2 linked regions of the Arabidopsis thaliana genome follow. The protein of the gene in region 2 interacts with the protein of the main gene of each other region in a pairwise test. Each region holds a gene or a part of one and is shown on either strand. Other genes may lie near its edges.

Evidence for each region.
Region 1: the proteins of PAPP2C (region 2) and AT3G26470 interact in a two-hybrid assay, tested with the Arabidopsis thaliana proteins (one study listed by BioGRID).

Annotation. Positions count from the first base shown.
Region 1 is NC_003074.8:9,677,535-9,693,470, reverse strand, and holds AT3G26470 (Powdery mildew resistance protein, RPW8 domain-containing protein), read right to left. Parts: upstream 7,540-15,936; 5' UTR 7,328-7,539; coding exon 6,920-7,327; intron 6,829-6,919; coding exon 6,571-6,828; 3' UTR 6,199-6,570; coding exon of another isoform or gene 5,854-6,198; 3' UTR 5,829-5,853; downstream 1-5,828. Other genes in the region: AT3G26480 (Transducin family protein / WD-40 repeat family protein), read left to right, coding at 2,644-2,763, 2,853-3,029, 3,120-3,266, 3,340-3,685, 3,811-3,929, 4,010-4,087, 4,210-4,374, 4,455-4,499 and 7 more; AT3G26460 (Polyketide cyclase/dehydrase and lipid transport superfamily protein), read left to right, coding at 8,864-9,053, 9,150-9,418; AT3G26450 (Polyketide cyclase/dehydrase and lipid transport superfamily protein), read left to right, coding at 10,172-10,361, 11,610-11,878; AT3G26445 (beta-1,4-N-acetylglucosaminyltransferase family protein), read left to right, coding at 12,725-12,757, 13,028-13,351; AT3G26440 (transmembrane protein, putative (DUF707)), read right to left, coding at 13,790-13,903, 14,022-14,057, 14,164-14,238, 14,335-14,455, 14,538-14,594, 14,684-14,797, 14,866-14,967, 15,056-15,171 and 4 more.
Region 2 is NC_003070.9:7,867,587-7,883,469, forward strand, and holds PAPP2C (phytochrome-associated protein phosphatase type 2C), read left to right. Parts: upstream 1-6,280; 5' UTR 6,281-6,485; intron 6,486-6,567; 5' UTR 6,568-6,649; coding exon 6,650-6,685; intron 6,686-6,816; coding exon 6,817-7,074; intron 7,075-7,144; coding exon 7,145-7,421; coding exon of another isoform or gene 7,422-7,468; exon of another isoform or gene 7,469-7,514; coding exon 7,515-7,669; intron 7,670-7,772; coding exon 7,773-7,910; 3' UTR 7,911-8,245; downstream 8,246-15,883. Other genes in the region: ZYP1b (Myosin heavy chain-related protein), read left to right, coding at 181-388, 481-606, 689-787, 992-1,668, 1,748-1,996, 2,068-2,196, 2,320-2,388, 2,462-2,572 and 8 more; AT1G22290 (14-3-3 family protein), read right to left, coding at 9,244-9,311, 9,388-9,440, 9,537-9,613, 9,721-9,787, 9,867-10,185, 10,263-10,329; GRF10 (general regulatory factor 10), read right to left, coding at 11,560-11,565, 11,664-11,701, 12,050-12,198, 12,280-12,389, 12,497-12,584, 12,792-13,098, 13,451-13,517; MBD8 (methyl-CPG-binding domain 8), read right to left, coding at 14,128-14,593, 14,950-15,883. UniProt on the Arabidopsis thaliana protein: Involved in the regulation of phytochrome signaling. May regulate phytochrome-interacting factor 3 (PIF3) through the dephosphorylation of phytochrome.

The sequences.
Region 1 (15,936 bases), on a different chromosome or scaffold from region 2:
GCCACTTCAGTTGACTGCTATACCTGCACAAGATGAAATCTTTGACAATCCAACATATTTCAGAAGTCTTGCAGGTAAACTTCAATATCTTACCTTAACAAGACCTGATATACAGTTTGCTGTTAACTTTGTTTGCCAGAAGATGCATGCTCCAACAGTGTCTGACTTCAATCTGCTCAAACGAATTCTGAGGTACATCAAGGGAACTATAACAATGGGGATCTCCTTTAATAAGAACACATATTGCAGATTGAGAGCTTACTGTGATAGTGATTATGGAAATTGCATAGACTCACGAAGATCCATTGGAGGTTACTGTACCTTCCTTGGTACAAATATCATCTCATGGTCCTCACAAAAGCAAGATTCAGTCTCCAAAAGCTCAACCGAAGCTGAATATCGAACTCTGTCTGACACTGCCTCGGAGGTAACCTGGTTAGGATCTGTTCTCAAGGAATTGGGCATTCCTCTACTTGACACTCCAGAAATCTATTGCGACAATCTCTCCTCCGTGTATCTCTCTGCGAATCCAGCTTTCCACAAAAGAAGTAAACACTTTCAGCTACACTATCATTATGTTCGAGAGAGAGTAGCACTTGGAGCTCTGATTGTGAAGCACATACCTGGTCATCAACAGATCGCGGACATCTTCACCAAATCTCTCCCCATCAAGCCGTTCTGCGATCTTCGTTACAAACTAGGCGTCGATGTTCCACCTACGCCGAGTTTGCGGGGGGCTATTAGAGAGAATGCATCTTGTGTTGAGACAACAACTCGGATTGGTGAAGAGAAGAACCAGATCAGAGCTGTGATCGGACACGAAGCAGAGGAATCTGTAAAGGTAAATTCTTCAGATGACATTATCAAGAAGGTTCTGAGATTGGGCCAAATTGAGAATGCAGCAAACCTCAAGCCCAATAAACAACAGGCCCAAGCGCAGACCCTAAACAACTCTCAGCTCCAACGGTCATCTCCTGCAAAAGAAGACAAAACCAAAAGTACATCAAGATTGGATCAAAGGACAAAAACAAGGAGCTGTGCTGGAAAAGAAGGAGTGGTTTTACAAAACTGTTTTGACTGTCTAGGATCAATAGAGACCTGACATGTGTCAGTGAAAACCCTAGTGTCACTAAGATTATAATGCCTATGAAAGGAAACATGATGTAATCTTAAACCCTAAAGAGAATAATCAAGAGAAATGAAATTTATCTTCTTTATATTTAGCCTTTGAGCATCTTTACTTTCATTGGTTAAGAGAACACTGAAAGCAACAATTCATATGTATAAAAATCTGAAAAAATAATTCAACATTCTAATTCATTAAACGTAGGATTTACAAAAGTCCCACTTTGTCTCCCATTTTTAGTCATCGTTCATGATGGTTGTATGCGAATAGTTTGATGAACAACTATAATTATTACATTTAGTTTGTTTCCAACGAGCCATATGTCAATGTTTGTTACGCTACAATTTTTATTTTTCTTATTTCTTAAACTTTTTACTTTGGAATAAGTTGATATGTATATGAATCATCTACCATTTCTCGTTTTTTCACAATAAATCCTAAATTTTTTGAACATTTTGTCTATATATAACTTTTCCATGACATAAATTAACCTTAGATAATATTGTATCTAAAGGTATAAACTACCGTTCCAAGTCTGATTAAACTATTGACCCTAAACATTTTTAAAACTGTTAGATCCACAAGACGCACAACTAGTTGATTGCATAGTCTTTTGAAACAAGACAAACAAACACTATATCAAAACAATATCATCTTTCTAATTTTATTTTAGTTATGTCGCTATCTATATGAACGATTTTCCGATAAGCTAGTCATATGCAAAAGATTTATAAAAAAAGTAATATGTTGACGAGGAAAGTGATAGATTGATAAATTAAGAACATAAATGTTTTTGAAAAGAAATTATAGCTAAACTGTCATAAAATAAAATTATAAAATAGATTAACTTATATATAATAGAAGCAACTTCAGTTTTTTAAAACATTCATGGAATTAACGATGGATATCGAAGTTTATTGGTCAACCTAAAATCATACCCATACATTTTAGTATTTATTGGACGACCTCAAAAATCAAAGTCATTGTCGACCATTGTAATACAGTTAATGTCGCATACTATGCCTCTGAATCATCCATCCATATTTTGTTAAAACGAAGTGAGTTTGTTAACTACAAAATTTCCAATTATTGGACTATACATTATATTTTGTTTATCCACAGGGTTTTTCACATAAATTAAGAAAATACAAAATACTTAAGATCTTGAAAAATTATGTAAGTTATTTTCTTGCCGTCTCATTTTATTAAAGATAAAACAGAAAAAATAAACAAACAGGCCGAGGCCCAACAAGGTCAAGGCCTAGTCCAAGAAGCGAAACCCAAACATGGAGGAAGAGAATGAGAGGAGTCATCACAGAGCCAGGTGTTACGAAGAAAGTGAAACTACAAGTACAAGCATATAGTACTAAGTACTAGTCGCAATTTGGTCACAGACATAATTTCCTCGAAAACTGGGTACATTGTAATATTTCGTCGGAAAAACGTCGCAAAATCTAATTTTTAATCGCCGAGTAAGATGTTTGCGTCTTCTCAGAATCTCCGTGAGTTGAAGGAAAATGATTCGCGGCGGAAGAAACAACATTACTTCCGCTCCGGCGTTTTCGAAAGACGCAAAGAAGCTTCTTTTATGCACAGCCAACACCGTCTCTGTTTACAGCGTCGCCACTGGCTTAAAGGTTTTATCTCTCGACTCGAGCATCCTTCCTTTTAGGGTTTCCCTCTAATCTTCTTCTCTCATTAGCGTATGCGTGTGTGTGTTTTTAAGATTACTTCACTCGAGGATCATACAGCGCCTGTGACGTCTGTGATTGTTGATCCGTCTTCCGACGAAACCGTCAGTTACTGTTGGACTTCGTCGCTCGATGGGAAAATTCGGATTTGGGAGTTCTCTGCGCCGAAGCTTTTGAAGATATTTGATACCCACCTTCCAATTCACTCTCTGGTCTGTTAAAGTTCCATACTTTGCAGCTTATAAACAAAAATTTGATAACTTTCAATTGCCCTTTTCTAAGTGTCTGTTGGGACTTTGTAGGTGATGATTCCAGCTCAAGTGTCACATTCCGTGATTGCTTATGTTTCGGTTGAGGACTATTCAAGTGTGTCCAAAGATTTGTTTGGACAAATCCGGAGATATGATCTCACTCAAGACCCTCTTCATAGTGGAGACACTTTGAAAGAGGTCAGATTTGTGGATTAACCATTTTTCGATTAGCCTCATGTTTGATTCTATAATCATTTTTGTTAATGTGCAGATGGAAGAACCAAAACCTATTGTTTTAAGTCCCTCTGGAGAGTTTTTCGGCGTCTGTCATAACTGCAGTATACATATATGGAATGTGGCATCAGAGCACCTCATGCCAAAGGAGACGACATTACATCATACAGAGTTGATTACTGTTTTTGCTTTCCATCCCAATCAGAGAATATTAGCAGCCGGTGATGTAACAGGAAGAGTGTTAATTTGGAAGGATAATGGTATTGGAGAATTTACTTCAGTGAAAACTGAAGATGATACTGAATCTTGCACTACTTTCAACTGGCACAGCGCTGAAGTAACCGTCCTTAATTTCTCTTCAGATGGAGCACTTTTGTATTCTGGTGAGTCTGAGTTATTTTTTCATCATAGTGACTGTATCTCTGTGTGTTGATAAGGAATTCATGTTTCTTATATATATATATATTGAGTTCTTATGCTATATTTCCTTTGCTTGTGACTCTTTTAGGGGTAAAGGCAGGTGATTTTGTTGTTTGGGAGCTAGGTACAGGGAAGAAGCAACTTTTGCCAAAGATTGGATCTCCCTTGTTGTATTTCATCTTCTCTTCAGATTCAACTCTTTCTTCTGTAAGAGTTTTTCCGTTTACAACAACCGTAGAAAGCAAATGAAGTGTTTCATTAACTCTACTAAGATCAAGAATTTTCAGGTGATTTGTGCAGATAATCAAATTCATCTTCTTAAAATGCCTTCCATGGAGATATTGAGAACGATATCTGGAATCAAGGTTCGTTCTTACTATCATCCGAAATTTTTCCTTGTTATTGTTGGTTTAAGCATGCTCATATTGTATACCGTTTCTGTTGGAGTTAACTTCACATGCATATTGTGTTCTTTACTATGTAATAGCCTCCGACACCAGAGCGTCACGGGTTTATATGCTACGTCAAAACGCGGGATATATGCCTCACCAGAACTGTATCCATTGATCGTTCTTCCGGTATAGCTGCTTTCTGCACAGCGAATCATCGTGTTCAACTCTACAACCTTTTAAGTGACCATGACATTTCAGAGGTTAGCTTCCCAAAAGGCTTATTGAGTTTTGTATCTGATAGTTGTATGATTTTACTATTTAACAAACCTAACATATGCAGGTTCAAATTTGCGATCATCATCCAGACGATGATGATCAAGTCCGGGTTAGTACATTTTGTTTCTTCTCTGTAAGATGACATAGTTGTTACTAGTAAAAGATCCGCTCTCTTTCTGTTTTGTAATAATTTGAAGAATTATGGAAAATAGGTTCTCGTGACTGCGGTTGCTCTCTCTCGGAATGGCTCAGTAATGACTACAGCTGAGGCCAGATTTGCTGCAAGCAATTTCAGTGAAGGCATAGTTTCTCTCAAGTTTTGGGTATTTGTACCGGACAGCAAAACTTTCAGCTTATCGACAGTCATAAATCAACCTCACAGGTTTTTACTTCAATGTTCTTATAAACTTTTAAACTCCTTGATTCTCATCGTGAGTGTAACTTTTGATCCTTCTGTATTCTCACAGGGAAGCTGCAATTACAGCCATTGCCCTTAACCCCGCCCGTTCCATGGCTGTTAGTATATCTTCTGCTGGGGACTTCAAGGTAGGATTACAGAGTAGTGAAAAATGGATCATTTCCTTGGAATATCGTTTGACCTTTTGTGTTACTGATATGACTTTATGTCTGTCAAGATTTGGGTTTGCAGTAGCGACAAGAATCTGACACCTGAGGACTCAAACTGGATTTGTCATGGAGTTGGCTCTTATAAGTAAAAGATTAGGAACCTTTTAACATCTCTCATTACTTAGTCGTTGTGATGTCAAATGAAATTGATGTAATATTTTTCAGGAGAACGCCAATAACAGCTGCTGTTTTTTCCGGGGATGGTTCTTGTCTGGCTCTTGCGGCTAAAACAGTTATTACGATCTGGCACCCGTTAAAGAACGAACTCCTGTATGTAGTTGGAAAGGCAAATGCGGTAAGACTTGTATAACACACAAAAGCAATTCCATGTTCATTAGTTACAGTCATTGTTGAAATCTTAAATGATATGTAAATGTTTCAGCCAATTATGGAACTCTCATTCACTGGAGGAGGCTTCCTTATTGCTGCATCCCATGGTTCCACACCGCACTTATCTGTCTGGGATCTGATGACGTTCTGCTTATCATGGTCATATAGATTATACATAGAAGGTTTATTATTTATCTTTTTGATCATGAAATCTTGATTTTTTTGGTTGTCTAAGTATATTTCATTTTTCCTGTTTATTTGCAGCCATTGCTACTGAAGTGGACTCACCATACTTTGCAGTTTTAACATGGCTTCCAGAATCTGATAGGTTGGTAAAATCTAACGAACAGATATTCCGCGGGAAAGATGGTGCTATCCTCTTGTTTGATGGGTCAGGCCCTAAACCAGTAGCTATTTGGACTGTAATGAAGGTATATACTCTAAGGAAGGATTAATCAAAGTTCTCTCATTGCCGTTAAGAGACTTGATTACAATGTTTATTGCAGGCCAGAGGAGGAACACTTTCATTTGTGGAAGATGGTAAAAAGTCTCAGCCGCTTCTCGCGTATGTAAACAGGAGCCATGAATATGTTCTATTTGATCCTTATAGCGATGAAAAACTCGAGACTAGCGCCATAGATTATGAAGTTTTTCTTGCAGCAATAAGCAAAAAGAAGAAGAGATCTAGGAAGAAAGCATTGATGTCAGAGAAACCTTGGGAAACAATGTTTTGTGGATCAACACTCAATTTCCCGCCTTTCCCCGACTTGTGCGCTTCGTTCTTCAGTTCCCGGATGCAGAAAGAGGTGTGTGAGAGAGCAGATAGACAACCTGAAAGACATAGCTCTTGAGAGACCCCATATTTTGGAACCCAACTTGGATAACATCATTTTGTTGGTAGCCTTTTTGTTAGAGATACAATCTGATTCCTTCAGCTACTAAAAGGGTTGTTTTGATATTAAAAGGGCTTCATTCATCATGTAGAACCTGCTGATTTGAGGTGTATAAACCAATTCTCTCTTTAATACGTAAAAAAGTAAGGTCAATTGTAACGTATGGAAAAAGAAGAAGCTAAAACAGAGTAGTGGACGATAAATTATATTTAAAATTGTGACTGAAACATAATTTAACAAATTGAAAAACATAAATCGAAAGCAATTTGTGTTTTAAAGATCGTAGTCCGCAAGGTTGAGTGGGTTGCAAGTATCCTAAGTCGTATGTGGTCAAGCAGGAGGATTCATGGAGGCTGCAGGAGGAGACATCATCGGTAGGAGGGTCTCGGGGTCAAAGCCGTTGGCTCGTAGTAAGACATCTTGCGCTCGCTTCATCGCAAGCATGTTGTTGATGACGTTGTTGGAGAAGGTGCGGAATTCAGCCTCCAAAATGGTGACCCGCATATCCATGTCTAGGTTAGGCTGGATGTGCTGGTACTGAATTGAGCCAAGTCCGTCGTAGTCACACCCTTTGGTTGATGTGACGTGCTGCAAAAGAAACGAGTATTATAGAGATGGCCTTCAAACTTGGTGAACAAGAAATCACAAGGGAGAGAGAAGAAAACAAAGATAGATAGACCTCATGGGAACGTTCATCAGAATTGGCCCGGAGAAGATGAAGATCGGCAAGGATGTGTGTCAAAATGGAAGCCCTAAAGAAATCAGAGAGGGTCTTCTCTAGCTTCTCCATTTTCTTCATGAGATATAACTGTCGAATCATATTCCAACGATTGCATGTTAAGAATTTGTCCATGAGTTTCTTGCCCTTCTCTAGAGACTCAAAGAGTATACGGATTTGAGCCTGGCGGTGAGCAGGCAGCTCAACTCCACTGTACTGGATCTCTTTGATCGTCGGTTGAATGTTCTCGATCAAGGTGCTGAGGTTGTCGGCTGTGTTTTTGTACCGGCCTGCTCTCGCAGATATCAGAAAGAGCTGCTTCAAAAGCTCCGTCGCTATCTCACCGGCGAAATAATCAGTGACGGCCATTTAGTAAAGGATATGTTAAAGAGAAAAAGTGTGGAGATAGAGAGCTGAGAGACAAGGGGATATGAACTAATTAATCTGTATAGAGGAGGAATTCACCGGTGGAAGTTTCCTAGCAACTCGAAGTGACAAGTGACATCTCCATATAATATTTGTTCAAGAGTTCAATGAAGAAGAAACAAGGAAATTAATGAGAAGGTAGACGTATATTTTATTTTGGCATATTGTCTTGTTTACAAATTTTTAATTAAGGTTTCTTAGAGTCAAATTACTGACATATACACTGACGTAATATGATCATATTAAATCGTTTGATTGGTGTATGTACATATTACTGCTGAGTTTGTGGTTACAAGCAAATCTTATAGATTCCTTTTTATTTTTTACTTTTTTTCTTTAAAACTTAAGCAAAAACATAAACATGACCATATTGTTATAGATTCTAAAAAGTTCAAAAACTTAAGCAAAATTAACGTCAATGAATTACAATACCAGTTGTATACTATTAAATATAAACAAATTATAAAACGACGAAAACTTATCATATATTTTTCAATCCTGCTCTTTAAGGCAATATCAGAATATTGGATAATAAGCTTAAAAAGCAACGTTAAAAAAAAATGAGAGAGATATTTACATTTTTTGTAGTGTGTGTGATGGTACAAAATACAAAAAAAGAATTGTGCTTTTATAGAATAAAAGGTTAATATTTTATTTTACCTTTTGTTTTTTTTATTTATTACAAAATTATGGACTGCCGTTGGACCACTCACATTAACGTATGAGAAAGAACTGTACGCAGTTAATCTACTTTTATTACTAAAAAAGCAATAAAACAAAAATTGTATGCAGTTAGCCGCCTGATTTTTATTTTTTTGCTTATTAAAAATTAAAAACAGTTTATCTGTCACACATTTTGGACTACCAAAAATCTGACTTACCATTCAAAACTTTTAATATCGATCCATAAAATGCAAAAATAAATTAATCTTTTCGTTCTACCTCAAATCTCTAAATTAATAAAAATATGTGATTTTAATTTATACATATTTTCATGTATAAGTATAACTTCCACACGCAAGCACAGTCACACTATCAAATCTATGGATTCAGGTTACTTATGACACGACGATTATATATTAATATTTATCAATCACTATACAAATATGACACAACATCACAATTCAGTACCGACTACAAGTCGCAGTTGCGATTAATGATTGGATAAAATTTAGTAAACATATACGCGATAATTGTCCTCACGATTAGTGTGTTTCGCGTATGATTGATTATCTTGTAAAGGATGATGGACCAACTATACACATTAATAACGTGGTCGCGGATTCGTTTACCAAATCAAGAAAATACATTTCTATGATCCACTAATGCTCTTATATTTTATTTTAATGATTAAAAGAAACGGTAGAAACCATATTTGAAAGCGTCAGCTTCTGATCTATATAAACCAACAAGTGTTATTTCAGCAACCAAAACAAAAACACGAGTGGAAACTTTTAAACAAGAGAGGGAGAGAGCGAAATGGCGACGTCGGGAACATACGTGACGGAGGTACCGTTAAAAGGAACAGCAGAGAAACACTTCCAGAGGTGGAGGAACGAGAACCATCTCTTCCCTGACGCTGTTGGCCACCACATCCAAGGTGTTTCTGTTCACGACGGCGAATGGGACACTCACGGAAGCATCAAGATTTGGAACTACACATTGGGAGGTATATACCTTTATTATACGTTGGAAATTATTTGCATCATTACATATGAATATGACCCAAATATAATTTGACTGATACGTACACATGAATGTAAAGATGGAAAGCAAGAGGAATTCAAGGAGAGGAGAGAGATGGACGATGAGAATAACACAATGAAGGTTGTAGGACTGGAAGGTCACGTGATGGAGCAGCTCAAGGTGTATGAGATCGATTTCCAATTTATTCCCAAGTCTGAAGAAGATTGCATCTGCAAAATCACTATGATATGGGAGAAGCGCAACGATGATTTCCCCGAACCAAGCAGCTACATGCAACTCCTCAAGAGCATGGTTATTGATATGGAGGACCACGTCCTTAAAGCTTAATCAACATCACCATCATCCCTATATGTTTATTAAGTTGTTTTCAATTATATCTAATAAAGTGTGTTTCCTTTCGGAATGCTATATTTTCAATTATATATAATAAAGTGTGTTTCCTTTCGGAATACTATATACGTACCATGTGGTTTCTTAAATCAATATATAAGAAAATGGGTCTTGTGGAGTTACTTTCTGTAGCATATACCTTTAGATGTTGACATCTTTTCCATTCAAGATACACTTGGAGACTAAATTTTACGGTTTCAAGATGATCTAAAGCTTACCAATTGAAGGGAACTGAAATATTTGTAATATATAACAAAACTTCTCAAATTCTTTTATTTTCATGTCGTATTTATTGTAAAACTGTTTTTTGGGGTAAAATATAATTTTACATTCATACCAAAAAAAAAAAAAAACTTAATTTTTCTGAACTAGAAGGATGATGGACCAACTGTACACATTAATAACGTGGTCCGGAATTATTTTATCAAATAAAGAAAATAAATTTCTATGACCCAATAATGTAATGCTCTAATATTTTATTTTATAATTTGTAAAATTAATGCTCACTAAATACTTTAGGTTGAAAAATGAAGAAGAGAAGTTTCTAGCATGATTAAAAGAAACAGTATTCTTAAGCGTCATCTTCTCTATATAAACCAAGGCAACAAGTGTTATTTCATCAACCAAAACAAAACAAAAGAAGAAACACGAGTGGAAGCTTTTAAACAAAATTAAAAAAGAGAGAGAGAAATGGCGACGTCGGGAACATACGTGACGCAGGTGCCGTTAAAAGGAACGGTGGAGAAACACTTCAAGAGGTACAGGAACGAGAACTATCTCTTCCCTGACACTATCGGCCACCACATCCAAAGTGTTACTGTTCACGATGGCGAATGGGACACTCAAGGAGGCATCAAGATTTGGAACTACACACTCGGAGGTATACCTTTCTTTATATATTAGACAATTATCTAAACTTTGAGTATGGGGCATGGGTTGATACCCAACATTAATTTGCAAAAAAATATATATGTGATCATAATATCATGCATATTCATCCTTATGAGGCCATCTCCATCAGTGTTAAGATACCAATTTGGATTTCTTAGTAATATTTTAAACATAATTTAGGTCTGTATTTTTTTTTATGGTCAATCAATTTAGGTATGTATTTAAAATTTTACTTTAAACAAAAAATCTATCATTAAGTGAAGGACATGTATCCATACCTTTTCTCATCAAATTCTACAAGTTTCTTGTTGAGATCTTTTCTTTTTATGTGTTTCTCTCCTCTCTTTTTCTTTTTTCTAAATAGGTGAGATTTTCTTTAGAACCTAGCCCATGGAGGTGGCCTGAGAAGTCTAACTATTGACATGTTGGAAATTTATTGCATCATTTACTTAGGCTATCAACAATGGTTTTTCCATTCAACACCCTCCACATAAGCTTCTTTCCCTTCCACATCATTTTCTCTCTCTTTCACATAATAATTCAATACCTACTCAAATTTTATACTCTACAATGGTTTGTTTAATAAAATTCAACACCCTACCCCACAAATTTTTATTTCATTATTTTTCTTTTCTTTTATGTTTTAAATGGATAAGTAATGAAATTTTAGGGGTTAAATGAGTTATTATTGGGATCCATTTCACTGGAAAAAGCAAAAAAAGATATAGATACGAGTTTAGCGGCTAATGAAAATTTTTTAGTGAAAATAGATGTATTTTTTTCTATGTTCAAATCAAATGAAACAAATCTCTATTTATAGAGTTTAAAAAATGATGAATTTTAGTGTAAAAATAATTTAAAACAAATAAATATTTTATAAGATAATTGACCTCCAATAATTCAGAGGAAAAGAAAATATAAGAAATTTCAGTAGCAAATAAAAGAACATGTCCTATCTTTATTTAACTCTCCCCCACAATTTCTGTCTCCAATTATTTAATAACAAGTGGTAATAAAGGGTCCATTTTTAAAGATTCAACATTGTTGAATCGATTCAACACCATTTAATCTACATATGATTCATTTCTTTATTCAATACCCCACTGTAAGCATTCAACTATTGAATAAATTTTTTCAATAAGCCATTGTAGATAGTCTTATATAAATATGACAATAATTTAATTTACACGCTTTAACAAAAAAAAAGAAAAAAATAATGATTTACATGTATGTAAAGATGGAAAGGAGGAGGTATTCAAGGAGAGGAGAGAGATAGACGATGACAATAAGATAGTGAAGGTTGTAGGATTGGAAGGTCACGTGATGGAGCAGTTCAAGGTGTATGAGATTGACTTCCAATTTATTCCCAACTCTGAAGAAGATTGCGTCTGCAAAATCACTATGATATGGGAGAAGCGCAACGATGATTTCCCCGAACCAAGCAGCTACATGCAACTCCTCAAGAGTATGGTTATTGATATGGAGGACCACGTCCTTAAAGCTTAATCAATATCACAACCACCACCATCATCACAACCACCATCACCATCATCCTATATATTTATTAAATTGTTTTCATTTATATATAATAGACTAGATAAGAACCTGTATAATGTGCGGGATAAAATGATTGAAATAAATTATTATGTATAAAATTATTATATGAGATATCATATATGTTTGTATACAAGAAAATATGTAACTAAAGTTTTCGTTTTATTTAAATTTACGTTTATTTCGTATAAAAATACGTTCCACCTATAAAATATTTGAAACTGAAAAAAATGATTTAATTTTTTTGAAATCTTTTGATTTAGGCTGTATGTTAAGATTCTCTATAATTAAATAAAAAAAGATAATTGGATCAAAGATTAAAATCGAAAGAGAATCCAAACTGTTTAATTTTATATAATTTTTTCTTGTATATATAATAAATTTTAACTTTTAGGATTTTGTTAGATATGTTGTTTCACTATTACTTCATAAAATTATTATATGTTTGAAATGATGCAATAAAATATTTATTAACAAAAAAAATAAATATATATTCAGATATACATGTCAATAATATTGTATATTACGGAGGTCCTAGACATAACAGAAAAGACAAAGTATTATTTTTGAAAAAGTAATAAATAAGTTCCATTGAAATAAACTTGTAATCGAACATCTACATCAAATTTTCATTTTCCTGATTTTTTATTTGTTAAGCATATATATATATTAAAACTCAACCAGCGATTCATGAGTTTGTTCATGTTTGAATCGTAGTTTTTTTTTTGTAACGGTTGTCTTGCCCTGTGCTATCTGATTGATGTCAATCTTTCATTGCATAAACAAGCCCATGAAGCCATGGTCATCGTCGTTGGAGTCTTTGACTTGGCGGTTAATGGGCCTTATATAAGTCAAGCCCAAATTATCTGGTTTACGGAAATGTGGTGGATGAACTGTTGAAGGAAGAAGACGACGGACACTACTCACTAGTGTTTTAAGAAGACTGATGGATGATATATCCGGCCAGGGTTTGATTCTCCGATCTGCTTGTTTTCGTGTACCCTTCTTTAAAGTTTTAATCTTTCACTCGAATTTTGAGAAGCTAAGCTCGATTCAAGAGCAAGTTCCTAGCTTCTGTTTAGGGTTTTAGGACTTTTGTAGGATTCTGGTACAGTTTTCAGTATCTATAGGCTTTGTTGTGTTCTACGTGGTGTAGATATGGAGTCTTATGTGTTCTTGTTAGTGATTGTTCCGACATTTGTCCTTGCTGATTTGTTGATAATGTCTGATGTTGATGAGATCCCGAGTAGACATACTGTAAACCTTTTGAGATGGTGCAATGAGATTACGCAGATCCCTCATCTACGGCTCAAGAACAGTCTTTATTCGTTTGAGTTCCTTCTTGATAACAAGAGCTGGAGAGCTTCCGTGCACAGGTTTCAGATGGGTAAAACACGTTATGCTCATTACCCACTATCTATCTGATGATATCTTGGCTGATGCAGGATGGCATTGCACGGCGTATCAACGAGTTTATATTCAAGATGAAAGCTTATAGTCATTACTCATTATGATAAGAGTGAGGTTTGGTCATTTCTTTGAACCAAGAAACATAATGTATTGTAATGAGAGCATACTACAATTTCTCAAATTATTTTGCCACAATCTGAAATGAACACAGATTAGTATTGACAATTGTATATTATAGAAATGAAGAGTTTATTAAGAACTTTATTAACTGTTTTGTTACTACAGTATAACTGTTTCTAGAACAGAGCTATATTGCTCTTTTCAAAGAATGTGTCTTGTGTGTGTATGCTTGCTTATGTGCTTATCATATCAACATTCTATTTCTCTTTTTTTCTTACTGAAAGTGCTATCTGAACACTAAAGGTTGTTATTCAGTTCCTCTACTCTTTTGGTTTAAGTACGTGTAGAGTTTGAAGAGGCAGATGCAATTTCTTTCAGATACTTCTGCTCTGATCGGGTCATTCTTTTCTGAAACATTGTCCATTCCCGTTTACATCTCTCTCTTACCTGATCAAAACATGTATATAATTCAGTAATTAACAATATACTCGGTCTAGAACCCGCTAAGTTCAAGAACCTTCTAAGTATATAACACAAGACAATAGCCGCGGTTGAGTTGTTTTACCCCTTGGAACGCGGTTTTCCCTTCCTGCGCGGTTCCCTGATCAATGTATTTGAGAGATCATCTCATAGTTAAAACTATGAACAAAGAAGCTAGTAAATAATGTAGTTGAGTATAGGAAGATAAAGTTTGATCATTTAATAACCTGGCTGCCTAAAGAAGGAATCTTTTGATGAATGATCCATTGAGAATCCACAACACCAATCTTCTCATGTGCAGGCTGTTTATTGAATCATTAAAAAGTGTTTCTTCTTAGTTTCGAAAACGTTTTGTAAAATTATACGCGTTTGTGAATAAGTTGTATTTGTATGTTAACCTCGACGCATTTTCTTAGCGCAAAGTCAAGACCCCAACCGTGAACCAAGTCATTCTGAATCATATGCCACACACAACGCCATGCCTCTCTAGAGAAAACTGGAGCCATAATCTCTATAAACCTGATAAGGAACCGTGCAAAACTTAATGGATCAAGAGAGTATGAATACTTATTGTATTGGTTTTGACAAATGAGATCCATACCCTGCACAAGGAGGTAGGTGAGGGTCATTGCAGCGGCCTGGTTTCTCTTCGACTTCTCTGATCAAAGAATTTGAAAAAGAATCACTATCTTTACTTTACTTAAACCATGGCATTGTACAGTTTATATCAAGAGTTAATTGTTTTACTTGTGAACTTCGATTCCGGGTATTCTCTTTGTTATCTTCCATGTGATTGATTTTCTTGATTCCACAGCGGGTTGCGATATTTCTAGACCATGCTTATTCACAATCTTGATGTACCTGCAATAATGTAGAAAACATTTCATAACAGTTTCTGATTATATTATCAAAAGAAGCAGAGTACTTACTCTTCTGCGTCGAAGTTTTCAACGCCAAGATCTTCATCCCAAATGAATATATATTCATATGGTGCTATGATATCAGGATGCAGAAACCTTTTAGCATACCACCTTCAATAGAAACATATTCAAAACGTTTTATTTAAAGCTTTAGATCAATGGAAACTGAGAGATAAAAAAAAAGTGTTTGTTTTGTTACCACTTGGTTTGCTTAGGTACACTGACGTGTATCGCCCGTTTAGACCATTCAAATTCATCATACTCCGAGGTTTTTCCATCGTAATGAAACAGAACAATGGTGAAGTTATCTGAGAACTATTGAGAGAGTAAAAGATATTAGTTTAATAAGAGTGAAAGATTAGAAGCAAAGGGGAAAGAGAACAAAAACTAGAGACATACTTTTTTGACACAAGCATCGATGTTTTTTCTTTGTTCATAAGAAACAGTAAAAGCAACAAGATACTTAGGCTTCACCACTGGTAAATCCTAAAGAAAAAAAACATGATTTAGAGATCAAGTCAATGATTAAGATGTTTGAAAGATCATTAACAAAAACCTAGAGATGTTATTACATCTTTAGGCAATCCCCACAATCTTCGTAAGTAAAAATCCGATTCGGCTGCAACAAAACTTGGAGGTAACATCTCTGCACCTCGAGGATTCGATGGAACCCAAATCTGCAGAATATCCAAACAAATCTTGTAACTAAATTCACTAAAGATGAGTAATGTTCACAAGGGAGAAACAAAAACATGCCTTATGATGATGTGATGCATCACTTTCGTTTTGTGAACTCGTCTTAGATGATTTCTCCGGTTTCTCATTTTCTATGTAGACAGTAGCAACAGAAGGAAGAATGCTTGATGGAAAATTCATCTGAAAATATATAAACACATCTTTTACAAAATCACACCAAAACATTATTTCTTGAAAAAAAGTAAAATTTTAAAAGTGTTACCTTAGTTAGTGACAATGTAGGGAAAGATATGCCTAATAAAAATCCGATAACTATTCCCGCGAAAATCGATATTACGAGCATCATACCGTCATTCGGTTTCTTACTATTTGAACTGCACAAAA
Region 2 (15,883 bases):
GTGCATGTGAGGTATATTGCTAGGTTTATGTTTATGAATATAGCTTGGATTATCTGCGTATATTGCTAGGTTTATATTGGAACTATAATTTGTGATTGGGAGGTTCAAGCTCTTGGTTTGTTCGTCTGAGGTAATGGCATAGACATATTTGAAAGGAAATTTGCTTTTCCAATGGTGTAGAATTGTAAGCTGAAAAAGTCAATGGAGCATGTCTATGCCTTAGAGGAGAAACTGCAGAGCGCTTTTAATGAGAATGCTAAGCTCAGAGTTAGGCAAAAGGAAGATGAGAAGCTGTGGAGAGGACTGGAATCTAAGTTCTCTTCAACGAAGACTCTGTGTGATCAACTTACTGAGACTCTGCAGCATTTGGCTTCTCAAGTTCAGGATGGTAAGAGTAAATGATCATACAGCCATCTGATTTTTGTGAATTATCTTATATACGCTGTGTTGCTTTATCTGTTTCCTAACTTGCATCTGCAGCTGAGAAGGATAAAGGTTTTTTTGAGACCAAATTCAATACTAGTTCAGAAGCAATAAACTCTTTAAACCAGCAAATGCGAGACATGTCTTTAAGATTAGATGCTGCTAAAGAAGAAATCACAAGCAGTAAGTTGTTGCATTATTCTATGTTTTGACCTGTAACGCAATTGGTATCCAAGTTTGTAACATCTTTGAGTTAAAAATGCAGGAGATAAGGAATTGGAGGAGCTCAAACTCGAGAAACAACACAAGGAAATGTTCTATCAAACTGAACGGTGCGGAACTGCCAGTCTCATTGAGAAGAAAGGTACATTTCTCCTTCGTTTTAAATTTACAATGCCATTGGTCACATGCAGTAAAAAAATGATGGTTGAATTAGTCTTGTTCTAGACTATGATTTCAAGAGCTTGAAAATGTGGCCACGCAGTAGATGGGAAAAAGCAATGTTTCTGAAAGACTTTCATGATATAAAACAATTGTATCTTCTTACTGAGTGCTTCTTCTGTGGCAGATGCTGTGATAACAGAGTTGGAAACAACCGCAGCTGAAAGAAAACTCAAAATTGAAAAATTGAATTCCCAACTGGAAAAGCTACATCTTGAGTTAACAACAAAAGAAGACGAGGTCATACACCTTGTTAGTATCCAGGAGAAGTTGGAGAAAGAAAAGACGAATGTTCAGTTGAGTTCAGATGAACTGTTTGAAAAACTTGTCCGCTCAGAGCAGGAGGTTAAGAAGCTAGATGAATTAGTCCACTATTTGATAGCTGAGCTGACTGAATTAGACAAAAAGAATCTGACCTTCAAGGAAAAGTTTGATAAACTAAGTGGCCTATATGATACCCACTTTATGTTGTTGCGAAAAGACAGAGATCTTGCATCAGATCGTGCTCAGAGATCGTTTGATCAACTCCAGGGCGAGTTATTTAGAGTAGCTGCCGAAAAAGAAGCTCTGGAATCTTCAGGCAATGAGCTAAGTGAAAAAATAGTTGAGCTCCAGAATGATAAGGAATCTTTAATATCTCAACTTTCTGGGGTACGCTGCTCTGCAAGCCAGACCATTGATAAATTGGAGTTTGAAGCAAAAGGACTGGTTTTAAAGAATGCTGAAACAGAATCAGTGATTTCGAAGTTGAAAGAGGAAATAGATACTTTATTGGAAAGTGTAAGGACATCAGAGGATAAGAAGGTATAAAATAATTTTATATCCCTATGCACTGTATCTAATGCATTCTTGTAATACTATATTTTTCTTGTATATATTGCAGAAAGAATTGTCAATAAAGCTTTCATCATTAGAGATTGAAAGCAAAGATAAGTACGAGAAACTGCAGGCAGATGCACAAAGACAAGTTGGGGAACTAGAGACTTTGCAGAAAGAGAGTGAGAGCCATCAGCTGCAGGCAGATTTATTGGCGAAAGAGGTGAACCAGCTCCAAACCATTATAGAGGAGAAAGGGCATCTAATCCTCCAGTGCAATGAGAACGAGAAGAATATAAACCAACAAATCATTAAGGTCTACAAAGTAAATTCTGGGACATAGGTTTAAGGTTTTTTAGTACTCATCAAATATGAATCCTACTGCAGGACAAGGAGCTACTCGCAACTGCTGAAACTAAGCTTGCAGAAGCAAAGAAGCAATATGACCTGATGCTAGAAAGTAAACAGTTGGAATTATCAAGGCACTTAAAAGAATTATCACAGAGGAATGACCAGGTATATCTGTAGCAATGTTTCCATATATTTAGTAGAATAAGAATCGTGAGGCCCTTAGCTGAATCTGAATGCAATATGCAAAGACACTAAAGCAATTAATTTATCTCTCTATGTTGTTTTTAGGCAATTAATGAGATCAGGAGGAAGTATGATGTAGAGAAGCATGAGATTATTAATTCTGAAAAGGACAAGGTATAATGACTACAGTATCTTTCGTTTTAGTCTTCTGAACAATTGATGATGTTTATTGTGGTTCTAACTCCAGGTTGAAAAAATTATCAAAGAGCTGTCCACTAAATATGATAAAGGACTCTCAGATTGCAAAGAAGAATCAAAGAGGCAACTGCTAACCATTCAAGAGGAACATTCTTCTCGGGTATGTTGGAAATGATTTATGAACTTTTTGGACAAGGCTTCTTTGCGAATCTCTAAGCTAAAGCTACCACATCTTATCATGTTACTGCATTCATGCATTGTTCCAATTGTCTGATAGCATCAATAAATTCCAAAATATCTGATGGTTCTGACCATCACCAAATGAGCTTTGAATGAATTAATCAAATCCGAAACGTTCTTGTATTTCTTGTATGCATTATCTGTTTGGAAGTTTATTTCTGACAGCATGGAAGTTAAAATTACTTTGCATATTAACTCAGAAAAGCTGCGTGTTCCCCAGATTCTCAATATTCGGGAGGAGCACGAGAGTAAGGAGCTCAATCTCAAAGCCAAGTATGACCAGGAACTGAGACAAAATCAGATTCAGGCTGAAAATGAACTGAAAGAGGTACACACAGATATAAATTCATAGCTCAAACAGATGAAAGAATAAGGAGCCTCTGGTATTCGAATATTTTGTATATTTATCCAGAGGATAACAGCTCTGAAGAGTGAGCATGATGCTCAGTTGAAAGCATTCAAGTGTCAGTATGAAGATGACTGCAAGAAGCTGCAAGAAGAATTAGATCTTCAAAGGAAAAAAGTAAGTGCTTTTTAAGATCCATTATAAGATGAATCTTTATGAGTTTAACTTATGGGCTAACCTTGCAGGAAGAGAGGCAAAGAGCTTTGGTGCAGTTACAGTGGAAGGTGATGAGTGACAATCCACCTGAGGAGCAAGAAGTAAACTCAAACAAGGTTAGATTGGACTTCATTTTCTTCCTTAATCGTTATCTATACACTTTAAGATATACAACATTCAGTTGACAATGCAAGTTCTCCTTTCTTTATTTTCATAACGTAAACAGGGTAAGAGATTGACATGGTGTTTATTACCTTGTAGGACTATTCACATTCGTCGGTCAAAGTGAAAGAATCTCGTCTTGGTGGTAATAAGAGAAGCGAGCATATAACGGTGAGGACAGAAAATTATGACGAACAGTCAGAGAATCATAAATATCTTCTTCTTCTTTTCGTTTCCGCTTCGTCAAGGCAACACATTAACACTTTCTCATGGATCATCAAACGCAGGAATCTCCTTTTGTAAAGGCAAAAGTAACATCTGTGTCAAATATATTGAAGGAAGCGACAAATCCAAAGCATCATAGCAAGGTAAACATATGAAGCTTTGCATTTTTACATTGAAATCAACCTCATTGTTTGGCTTGTGGTTCAACTTGGCAGGTAACTCATCGTGAGTATGAGGTTGAAACGAATAATGGGAGGATACCTAAACGGAGAAAAACAAGACAGACAACAATGTTTCAGGTCAGCTTGTCCATCCTGCTATATAGACATATTCAAGATATCTAACTTTACATTGTTTGGCAACAGGAGCCACAAAGACGCAGTACTAGGTTGACACCCAAATTGATGACCCCCACAATCATCGCGAAGGTAAAATACAAATACACTACTTTTAACTGATGCTTTGAAATGAACAAACCCTCACATCAGTCAACTAGTGTTGAAGCAGAGAGTAAAAAAGTAGATTTGATGATAGGAGAAAAATCATATTTTCACAAAACGTTTTATATTCATTTCGTCACACCTTCCTTAATAGTAAAATAGATTAACTGACAGACATAATGGAACAATAGGAGGTCAGACTTAGGGCTGCTTAACCAAGCTTTATGTCTATGCGAGTATAATGTAGAAGTTTTCAGGCCAAGAAGTTATGGATGATGCTAGGTTTCTAAAAACATTTCTGATTTAACTGCATATTATTCTGGTCTTTTAAGCGCAGGAAACAGCAATGGCCGATCATCCTCACTCTGCAAATATTGGAGACTTGTTTTCAGAAGGTTCCCTCAACCCATATGCTGATGATCCCTATGCATTTGATTGAAGTCTACCACACAAAGTCAGTTCCCTATCTCTCTCTCACTTTCAGATACATACTATTTGTGAAAGCTTGCTCACCGATTTACATAAACATTTTGCTGCTTGCATCAACTATCTCATTTTTATAACGTGGAATAACTATATCCTAGTGTTTCAAAAACTTGTAAATGTTGTTAAGAGAAATAATCCGCAATCTGTTTCTGATCCAGTAGCTGTCTTCAAAAAACATTGATAAAACCTTTGCATCAATCAAAAGTGTTAAATCTATTTGTCATCTTTATAGCTGTTTCTATATTTGTAGATTTGGTATACGTTGGTGTTATTAGTGGTTCATTTGCTCTTGAGGTTAACAGTTTTCTGTTGAATTATTGGCATCACAGAACACTGATTCCAAGCGGAGTGCTCTCTGAGACCTGAGAAGAATCACAAGGAAGAAAGTGGAAAGCAGTACAAATCATGTAGATCAGAAGCCATTCATATAAGCATAGAATAAAACTATCAGTATTTGTATATATATACAAACTCATACATTGTATCTAGTTTCACATTCTTGTGCTGTTGGGCTCATTAACATACAGTACCAGTACTTTACATAGTAAGAAAATGGGCTCATAAAAGGCCCACAATTGAAAATGAGTACATGATGTTCTACTGTACATGACTAGGGGCCTATGAACCTAATTTAGAGGAACATATCACGGAGGTTTAGACGAACAAGTTTATTATTTTAAGCAACAAATCGTTTGTTTTAGGCTAGCAATCAAAATTGTATGTATAAATAAGGAAGCTAAGGTAGCTAAATTGATGTGTGTTTGATTAAATAAACTAGATTAAGGGTCAAAAAGTCATGAAATGTGTGCGAATCACATTAAATGGAGAAACAAAAAGATGGCTAGTAAACGCGTCGAAGCCTTTGACCCTTTCCACTTTCTTGTCGCATTCGTTGATACTTTGAGATTTCTGGTAATGGGGAAGAGACCTGATATTTTATATTTTACTCAATTAAGCACTTCATAATTGTTCTTGAACTTTTAGTTGTATAAAGAAAATGTAAAAATTACCGCAATCGTTATGCCATCAAATCCAAAATGGATATGTTTTTCTACGAAACTGCTAATTTCATGCATTAATTTGTGTGAAAACGAAACATTCATTTACTTTTTACTTACTCATAATAATCTCTCTAAGCAAAAATGTTTTATATTTTGTAATATTAAATAAAACTCTTGCGGAATACGTCCTAATAAATATCAAAAACCAAAGGATTGTGTTTTATTTTTCTGGATATTTGTATATCAGGAATAAAATATATATGAATTTTCTAAATAGTTTCGCACATTTTTTCATGTCTGAATAGTAAAAACGCATATAAAAAAATAAAATAGGGATTGTTAAGGAGATGACATAAATGTAAAGGAAGAGGAAGTCAACATGCCAAATAGCCAAGACTAAAATTTTTAAATGGCAGCTTTTTTATTTTCTTTGACCAGATCACTCCTTTTTGCTCCATCCCTTTCTCTCTCTCCTTTTCTTCCCCTAATTTATCTTAACCTTCACCCCCAAAATTCCAAAACCTCTCACTTTTATCCCAAAGTTCCTATTGTCATATCTACACCCTCATTTTACTTTAATACAACGCAAATGTATGTTACAAATTCATCACCTAAACAAAACTACAATTTAAAGGTTAAGCAATTATTGTTACCCAAATTAAATAATCGAAATCTATTATAGTCACAATTTAAAATTCATTCATATGAGGCGTAAAGTAAATATTTATATATATGAAGGACGTTGATGCAATATTAAAAAAATACAGATAGCTTTCAATTTTTATTTTTCTTTCAACTGAATAAAAATATATATATATATATATATAATTTCGCGTAGGAAAAAGACATAAACGAAAAGAGAGCGAAGACTTCGTCGCATAGACTTTGTAGATTTATCGTTGAGAGTACCTCAAACAAAAAAAAATTGAAAACCAAATTAGGGTTTTTAATTTCCAGGTAAAAATCCCCTCTTTCTTATCATCTCCCAGCTGCTCAATGAAGATTTTAATTTCGCTTTCTGAATTTATTTTTTCTGCAGATTGTTTTGTTTATTTGAATAAATCTCCGCAAGTTTCAATTAGGTTGCAAAAATCGAAGAAATTTTCTTCGATTCAAAAAAAATGGGAAAATTTTGTTGCTTCACTTCCGCTTCTGAGGTAATGATTATCGAATTTTTGGCTATATAACAATTTCTTTTTTTTTGTTATGAGATGAAATAATTTTGTCTTAGAAGTGAAAGATCTGAGAGCTTTGTGTTTTGATTGATCTTATTGGTGTGGGTTTTTAGGTTGTGGGAGGACAATCATCATCACGATCAGGTAAAGGAAGAAGTGATGAAGGGATGATCAAGTATGGTTTTAGTCTAGTGAAAGGAAAAGCTAACCATCCAATGGAAGATTATCATGTTGCTAACTTTATCAACATCCAAGACCATGAATTGGGTCTTTTTGCTATTTATGATGGTCATATGGGTGATAGTGTCCCTGCTTACTTGCAGAAACGTCTCTTCTCCAATATCCTTAAGGAGGTAAAAACAAAAAAAAAGGTTACTGTTCTACTGTTCTTGGGTTAATGAACATGTGCATAGCTTTAAGTGTATTGTTTTTTTTATGCAGGGAGAGTTTTGGGTTGATCCTCGAAGGTCTATTGCAAAAGCTTATGAGAAGACGGACCAAGCGATTCTATCGAATAGTTCTGACTTGGGTCGTGGTGGTTCTACTGCTGTGACTGCTATATTGATTAATGGGAGAAAGTTGTGGATAGCTAATGTTGGTGATTCACGAGCTGTTCTTTCTCATGGTGGCGCTATAACGCAGATGAGTACAGATCATGAGCCTCGTACTGAAAGGTCGAGTATTGAAGATAGAGGTGGATTTGTATCCAATCTACCAGGTAAAGAACTTATTTTGAGTATTGAATGTTTAATGAAGATAGAATGATTTTGTTGACAAGGAGGATGATGTGGCTGTGATGTTTTAATAACAGGTGATGTTCCTCGGGTGAATGGTCAATTAGCTGTGTCTCGTGCTTTTGGAGATAAGGGACTTAAGACACACTTGAGTTCAGAGCCTGACATAAAAGAAGCTACTGTAGATAGCCAGACAGATGTTCTTCTCTTGGCTAGTGATGGCATCTGGAAGGTAATAATGGCTTGTTCTCTGTATATATTATTCATCTCTTGTTAAATGAGTGTTTTGAGACCATTTTTGTCTGATTGTTTTGTTGTAATGATCATGTTAATAGGTGATGACAAATGAAGAGGCAATGGAGATAGCGAGAAGAGTGAAAGATCCACAGAAAGCGGCAAAGGAATTAACAGCTGAAGCATTGAGAAGAGAGAGTAAAGACGACATATCTTGTGTCGTGGTCCGATTCAGATGACAAACTCTCTGAAAGGATACTTACGGGGAGATGGGTTCCTTATATAATAATTTCAATCAAAGATTCATCAGGACAAAAAAGCTTGTTTTCACTGGATTCGACTCTGATGATTCTGGTTCGGTTTAGGACCGGTCTAAGTTTCAATTTGTGATTAGCTGCTTCTTGCTATAGCTTATGTGCGTTCGTTGTGTAAATTGTGTGTTTTAAAGACGATAAGAAAATGAACAAAAAAGGAGTGGGGAATGGAGTTTTGTGGTGGGTGATGGGGGGTTTTGTTATTATAATTGGTTGATTTGTTATATTTAATCATCGGGATATAAATATTAGGATGTTTTTACAAATATGTGAAAGTACTTTTGGATTAGGTTTGCATATATATATGTTAACCAAAGTGTTTGCTATTTGTAAGAGATTTACATTGCCAAACAAAATAAGCAAAAGTTATCCTTATCATTGTTGTTGGTAAATGTCATTATCCTTGGAAGGATTAAAAATAAGATGGATCAGTTTACTACAATTTGGTTGTGTTTTGTTGTTATAATTCTAAGCAAAGTCTTTCAGAGATTGAGATGTTGCAAATAGTTGCAGAAATTTATCACTGAAAAGGGTTTCATTATTGAAAGACTTAGCTTAGGCGTTGAAAAACTTTCATTGTGTTTTATTTGTGGAACTGTTTGCAACTGCTATAGAGGAAGATGTACCAAGCAATTCTCGAGTTTTCTTCCTCAGTGCTCCAATGGGATTATAGTATTCATTTGGCTATAAAAAGAAAGAATGAAGAAACGTCGGTGACAAGCAATGATTCTTTAGGTATACTCCGACAAACAAAACCCCAAATGGTGTCTTATATTCTGAAATTTCAACACAGGAGAAGCAAGTTAAGTGTAAAACAGATTCCAACCCATCTTGACTCAGGATATGCATCAAGAGTCGTTTCTTTTCTCGCATAGGATTCAAGATTCAGTTCTGCAATGGTATAGTAACTCCATTAGCAATGCCAAAATGAAAAATATAATCTTCAAGTAGCTTAAATTTTGACATAACTGGCTTTTTCATACCTTTTTCTTGGGGCTCATCACCACTTTTGGATAAGAGGAAACAAAAAAAAAGTTGAGTGTATGATTTGGAAGAGAACAAGAAACTAGTATGCTAATTGGTTTCTTGCAACAAAATTTGCTTGAATTCAACAACTTGGCGTTTAAGCAATGAAAGATCCACAAAGCCGTAAATATGTTCCCAAGCATTAACATTCGAATCAAAGTTTAGGCTCCTCATAACAGTACAAGAACTAACAAAATTTCACAAAAATGGCTTATATTGATTCCAAAGGAAACTATCTATCTATCATCAGAGGAGGCAGATAGGGAAATAAAAAGATTACCTCCTCTCTTTCTGTGAGGTCTAAAGTCCACATGTTGAGATTGTCTCTGAGTAGCTGTATAATAAGAGTCATGTCCTTGTTTGATTCATCACTTACTGTCAAATTCATTAATTGCATCATCGAACGCTTGCTTTGCCAATTGGTATGCACTGTACAACACACAGTTTCACTGATTCAGACTGTTAGTAAGTAACACCACACCGATTTCATTAAATAATCATATGTATGCATGTAAGCAAAGGAACCTTTCAGGAGAGTTTAAGAAAACAGAAGTCCAATTCAAAGTCATGTATAGCTGGAACTGTTGGTACCAAACCAGTCTCTGCAGCAGTAACAACAACCAACATTGCCATTACCAAAACACAAAACATATTGTTCAGTTTATTTTGTTCCGAGCTCAAGGCACAAAAACAAACATGAGCCAAGGACCTTATATGCATCAAGAGACTGATCAGTAGCTTCCTTGCTTTCAGCATTAGAACTGAAGTCTGCCAGCCTGGAAAGAACATAAAGTATAGCCAAAACAGTGCAACACTTTTGCGCCTCAAGCACCACAACAACACATTTTCGCTCACATATTGTAGAAAAGAACAGAGGAGTCCACAGTGGTAGACGATGGAATGAGTTGCTTATTGATGACGGACAGGATGTCATTACAAATTTTGGCAAGCTCATCTTCAACCTTGTTTCGATAATTCTTAAGCTTCTTGACATTTTCCTCATTTCCTTTTGACTCTTCCTTTTGCACAATGGATGATAGTATTTCCAATGAAGCTCTCCTTGCGCTAATCACATTCTTGTACCCCACTGATACAAGATTTCTCTCCTTTGCTGATAGCTCCGCTTTAAGCTGAACACTTTTCTTCATCGCTTTCTTTATCTCTTCAAATGTTTCTGCAACAAAACATTTGGAGTATTGAGTAATGTGAAGGCATGTTAAGATTCAAGAAGTTGTTCTGGAAAAAAAGTACCATTGTAGCGCTCGCTTGACGAAGAGAGACTCGCGAAGTGAACGTGCGTTGATTGTTCATTCTCCATGGCTTTTCTTCTTTTTCTCTCTTAAACAATAGATGCTTGGAGAAGAAGAAACTGTAATCTGTATTTCTTGCTCAAGACTTTTCGATTTCACTCATCATTTTAAAGAATAGAAAAGTAAATGAGCTAATGACAAGTGTCCTATTGGCGCTGGATCCAATAGCATCAAATCTGTTTTGAAGGTTTCAGGTTGATTTGGTGAGAGTTGGCAAAGATCGTCACCATGATCCTCTGTTTATTAGTCAAACCTAATATTTGAAGGTGTTGTCTCTTTGCTTTTGACAGTTGTAGCATTTGTTGTGCTAGCAACAACTCACCTAAAGAATTTAGAAGTTGGGCCAAGTGAATACTTGAATTGATCATTTGTAGCTCAAAATTGAAGTTTTCGATAGATGTATGAAATTATTATTCATTGGACATATAAAAATATTAAAGAAAACACTACAAAATCTCTCGAGGGAAGTGGTCAATTCGTGACAAAAATGTTATTTAGATGGTTGACAAAAAGATATCTGATTCTATAAGGATTAACTGGTTCACAGTTTGATTAACATGTTTTAGACTTTGAGGGCTCTCGATTGGATTAGACACAATGAGTGTTGGTACGAGTTAGAGAGTTTGTGATAGCATTTGGTTACAATTACAACTTACAAGAGTCCCATATTTAGAGCATAGAGATCCTTTTTGAGGGTCATGTTGGGAGAACCAAACCATTATTATGTCACACACTTACGGACCAAACCACCGTAGAGAAACACACTTGAGGATGATTCCTTGGCCACAAAGAGGGCAAACATCCACAAATTGAAAAGTTGTGAAGTTTGGGATCACTTATGCAAATTATTAAGAGCCTCTTGAATTCAGACTTTCATGATTTTTGCAAGGAGTTATTAGTTATTACAAACTTCGAATAAAGCTTTGTCTGTTTTGGTTTTTAATTTTGAGACCATGATACGCCTAATATTCTGATAAACAAAAACCCAAATCATGCCTGCTGGCTCAATTCAACAACAAAAGAAGCAAACTAAGCGTAAAACAGAATTCAACCACATCATAAGAGGGTTGAAGATACGCAACGCAGTGTTGTGTTGTGAAAAGTTCAAGAATCTGGAAAACACCATCAAGAAAGACATAGATTAAAAATTACACATTCGAGTAACAAACAACGACACTTACTGTCTTCACTTCAAGATTCAGGATGCAGCAAGAGTCGTTTCTCTTCTCACAGAGGATTTAGTTCTGCAATGATTCAGTAATTCCATGAGTGGTCTAATTGTCAATGCAAAATGGAAAAATCAGTAAGTAGCTTAACTTATAACAAAACTGGCTTTTCATACCTCATCTTGAGGCTCATCAGCACCTTTGGTTCTCTCATCTAAGAGGGGAAAAAAAAAAGGTGAGTGAAAAAGCTTTGGAAGAGAAACAAGAAACTAGTAATGTTTTCTGCTACAAACATATAACTTTTACAAGATTAGCTAGAATCCAATAACTATGAGATGGTAGATTGGTATGTTTTTTGTTGAGGCTTTCAAAACTAAAATGAAAGATCTACATAGCAATACATGCATAAAGGACGGTTTAATTCAAATATAGACAGATGGTTAATGGTTACGAGTTCCCAAACATCAACATTTTTACTCCAAGGTAACGCTCTTAACAGCTCATTTGATTCTAAGGAAACCATTTGATCATGAGATAGGGAAACAAAAGAAAATAAGAATACCTCCTTCCTCATTAAGGTCTGAAGTCCACAAGGTGAGATTGTCTCTAAGTAGCTGCATAATAAGAGTGCTGTCTTTGTATGATTCCTCGTTGAGGCTGTCAAGTTCAGCAATTGCATCATCGAATGCTTGCTTAGCCAATTGGCATGCGCTGTACAATACATAGTTTCATAGTGTCAGAAAATGACCACAGATTCCACTATTATGTTCAATCCAAAATACAAAAACAAACCTTTCGGGAGAGTTCAAGATCTCATAGTAGAAAACTGAAAAGTTCAACGCCAAGCCAAGTCTAACTGGATGTGTGGGTGCCAAACCATTCTCTGCAGCAGCAACAGCAGCCTACATTCCCAGTACGAAAAAAGCAAGACTTGTCTTAGGTTATTCCCAGCTCAAATATAAGAGGGGTGGCACAAAAATAAGAAAACAAATAAACATGATCAAAGGACCTTATATGCTTCAAGAGACTGATCTGCAGCTTCCTTGCGTTCAGCACCAGAACTGAACTCCGCAAGATAGCGATAGTAATCTCCTTTCCTACATAGAAAGAAAAAAAAACACGTAAAGTCAAAACAGTGAAACAAGGAAAAGTTCATGAATCATCATCATTTCAGGAAGAACACAAGCAAGAGTGGTAGCTATGTAATAACTTAAACATTTAACTTTAGTCAAACGGAAATGATCTCATTCTTAGTCACACAAATATCACATGAATGGTCAGAGTATAATAAAGATGACACTCACATTTTGTAGAAAAAGACAGTTGACTCCACAGCGTTAGACGATGGAATGAGATGCTTATCAATGACAGACAAGATGTCATTACAAACTTTAGCAAGCTCATCTTCAACTCTCTTACGATAATTCTTAAGCCTCTTGACATTTTCATCATTTCCCTTGGACTCTTCCTTCTGCTCAATGGAAGATAGTATTCTCCATGATGCTCTCCTTGCACCAATCACATTCTTGTACCCTACAGATACAAGATTCCTCTCTTCCACAGTTAGCTCCACATCAAGCTGAGCAACTTTCTTCATCGCCTCCACCATTTCTGCATCATCACCAACAAAAAAAAAATATCCGATCTTTGAATTTGCTTCCAAAAACGTAGATCTATTTCATTTTCATGCTAAGAGATTCGACAACAGTAAGTATAAAATTATATCAAGATAAGATCAAGAGTGATCAGAGTATCTAAACAACATTAAACAAGAAATTACTTAAAGGTCGCATCTAAAAGTCCAGATCAAGTAACAGCCCAGAAACATACAAATCGGTAAAGGGCTACAAAGAAAATCTATGGAAATGTAAAAACAATTTCGATCGGAGCAATAAAAGATCGGATTTTTTCAGAAACATGAACAAATCATTTTCTGAATAGAGATCCAGAAATCGGAAAATACCATCGTATCTTTCGGTTTGCTCGGAGAGCTTAGCCAAGTAAACCTGCTTTTCCCTCTCATTCTCCATAGTTTTTTCTTCTTCTTCTTCTTCTTCTTCCTTCTCTGTCTCTCTGAAGTCTGAATCAAAAATGGATGCTTTGATTTGATTGATTTCGAGATTAGTAGTAACCCTAGGATCCTCTCATAGTGGTATTATATCAGCCGTTGGATCTACTTTTTTTAGTCAACAAAACTCAGAAACATAAGTTTTATAAATTATAAAGTAGCCACAAAGGTTTAGTTTTTACACAGAAAGAACCTAAAACTAATATATGTTTCTTATTAAACCCCGATCTAGTCAATAACGTAAAAGGTTAACGACGCTGACCGTGATAAACGGAGAAAGACATGTCCTCTTGTCCATTATTTTAAGGGTTTGTGTTCTTTTCTATATTATATAACACAATCCAAATCATAGATTTTTTTTATGCCAATCCAAATCCAAATCCAAATCAATCACAGATTGAAACTCAAAGAAATTTTCTTTTGAAGAAAAAATTTGGTTTCTGTCAAATGTTTTGTACATGGCCCTTTCAAATTCTATATCCTGTAGTTAGCTACAACACGCTTTTAGTTTGCATAAAATATAAAATCTGAACTAGAATGAGAAAACAATTTGTTCCAGGTAAAAGAAATGGTCACTGAACTCGGTTGATTTGTGAGCTGAAATACTGTTGAAGCTCATTAGTCGTTGTCGGTAGGCTTTTCGTCATTTCTGAATTCGATAGAGTCGCCAAATTCTCCATGTTACCATCTCTTTTCTTCATATCATCGTCGTTGTCCTCAACTCCATTCAGAAAATCTGCATTATCATCTTTCTGCATCAGACTGGTTTTCACTCGATCTGCTTCATTGCCATTCTCTACGGCTTTTGCTTCCTCAAACACCTCACTGCTGGTTCTTCCACTCTCAAGGTACTGCATTGTCTCAGAGTCCATGGAATCAGAGTTACCTAGTAAAGATTCGTTAGCTATCACTGGTTGTTGTCCTAGAGTCTTGTTGTCAGATTGCAAGTAATAATGTTGGTTCTTGCTTGGGGATTCAAGAAGTGATCGTAGATATGTGGAGACTTCCTTGCAGGTTTCAAACTGTTGCCCATCAGGGCTATATAATCAAAAACAAAAGAGAAAATTTTCAGAATCCTGAACTAAAAGTGATAACAACAGCTAGAATCCTAGAACGGCAGAGAGTACACAAACGAACTATAAGCAATTTCAGTAGCAGCCCTTAATTCATGTAAACATCTTTTATCATGTTCAAGAAGATGGAGAAACAAACAAGAGGGACAATCAAAAGTCTAGCAGCAGAAACTAAAACATCATATACCAAATCCTATAAAACTATATCTTCAATAGTAACAAAGTGTTAGTTTTGCTATAACCAATTCCACAGCCAATACTAGGTCTATTTTATAATCCAACTAGAAACAGAACCAGTGAAGAACATAAACATTATTATACCTTATGTATCTGCGACAAGCCAGCAACAAATTGCTACCTTTCCTTTTGATGTAGAGCATAAGTCTCCATCCTCTAGGCAAGTATCCTCCATAATCACAAGCATTCACAACTTTCTTCTTCTTCCCTATATTCACCCATTCACCATTCAATTGTTCCAAGAAACCTAAGATCTCTTCCTTTGTCTTCAACCCAACGGTGATCCTCCTCAGCTCCTCTTCGTATGGATCCTCTGAAACACTAGCCAATGCAGAGAGATCCACAATTGTACCTTCTCTGTTCTCCAAGTTCACTACTAACTCTTCCTTATCAAACGCAGAAATATTCACAATTGCACTGTCTCTCTTCTCTAGGTTCATTATCTCTTCCTTATTCTTTGGAGGACGACCTCTCTTTCTCTTCACTGAATTTGAATCCAGGGAGATTCCTGAACTACCAACTCTACTCACCATTCCCAAATTGCTACTAGTTTTATCTACAAACACATACGTAGATGCTTCACCAGTTAAATCCAAAACCTCATTCTCTTCGCTAGGGTTCCGAATCTTCCTCGGCCGTCCACGCTTCCTCTTTATTTTATTCCCGGAGGTTCCCTGAATCAGAACGTTCTGAATCGAATCAAGATTAGGTCTCTGATAAACATAGCTGTTATAATGGATCTGACCTTCGTTATCTTCGAGCTCTTCCTCTCCTTCGTCTTCTTCCTCTTTACTCTGATTCGAATCGACATTGAACAGAGATCTGAGAAGCGACGCGACTTGCGTTTGTTCTTCACGGGAAGAATCGTCTCTCTGACGTTGCGGCGAAGGAGGTTCCTCCGGTGGTTGAGGGTGGCGCGCAAGGCGGAGACGGAGAAATGTCTGTTTCCGGCTACCAGCGGACTCATTGAAAACGGAGCGATCGATCTTTGGTGTCAAATCGTCGTCTCCACCGGCGG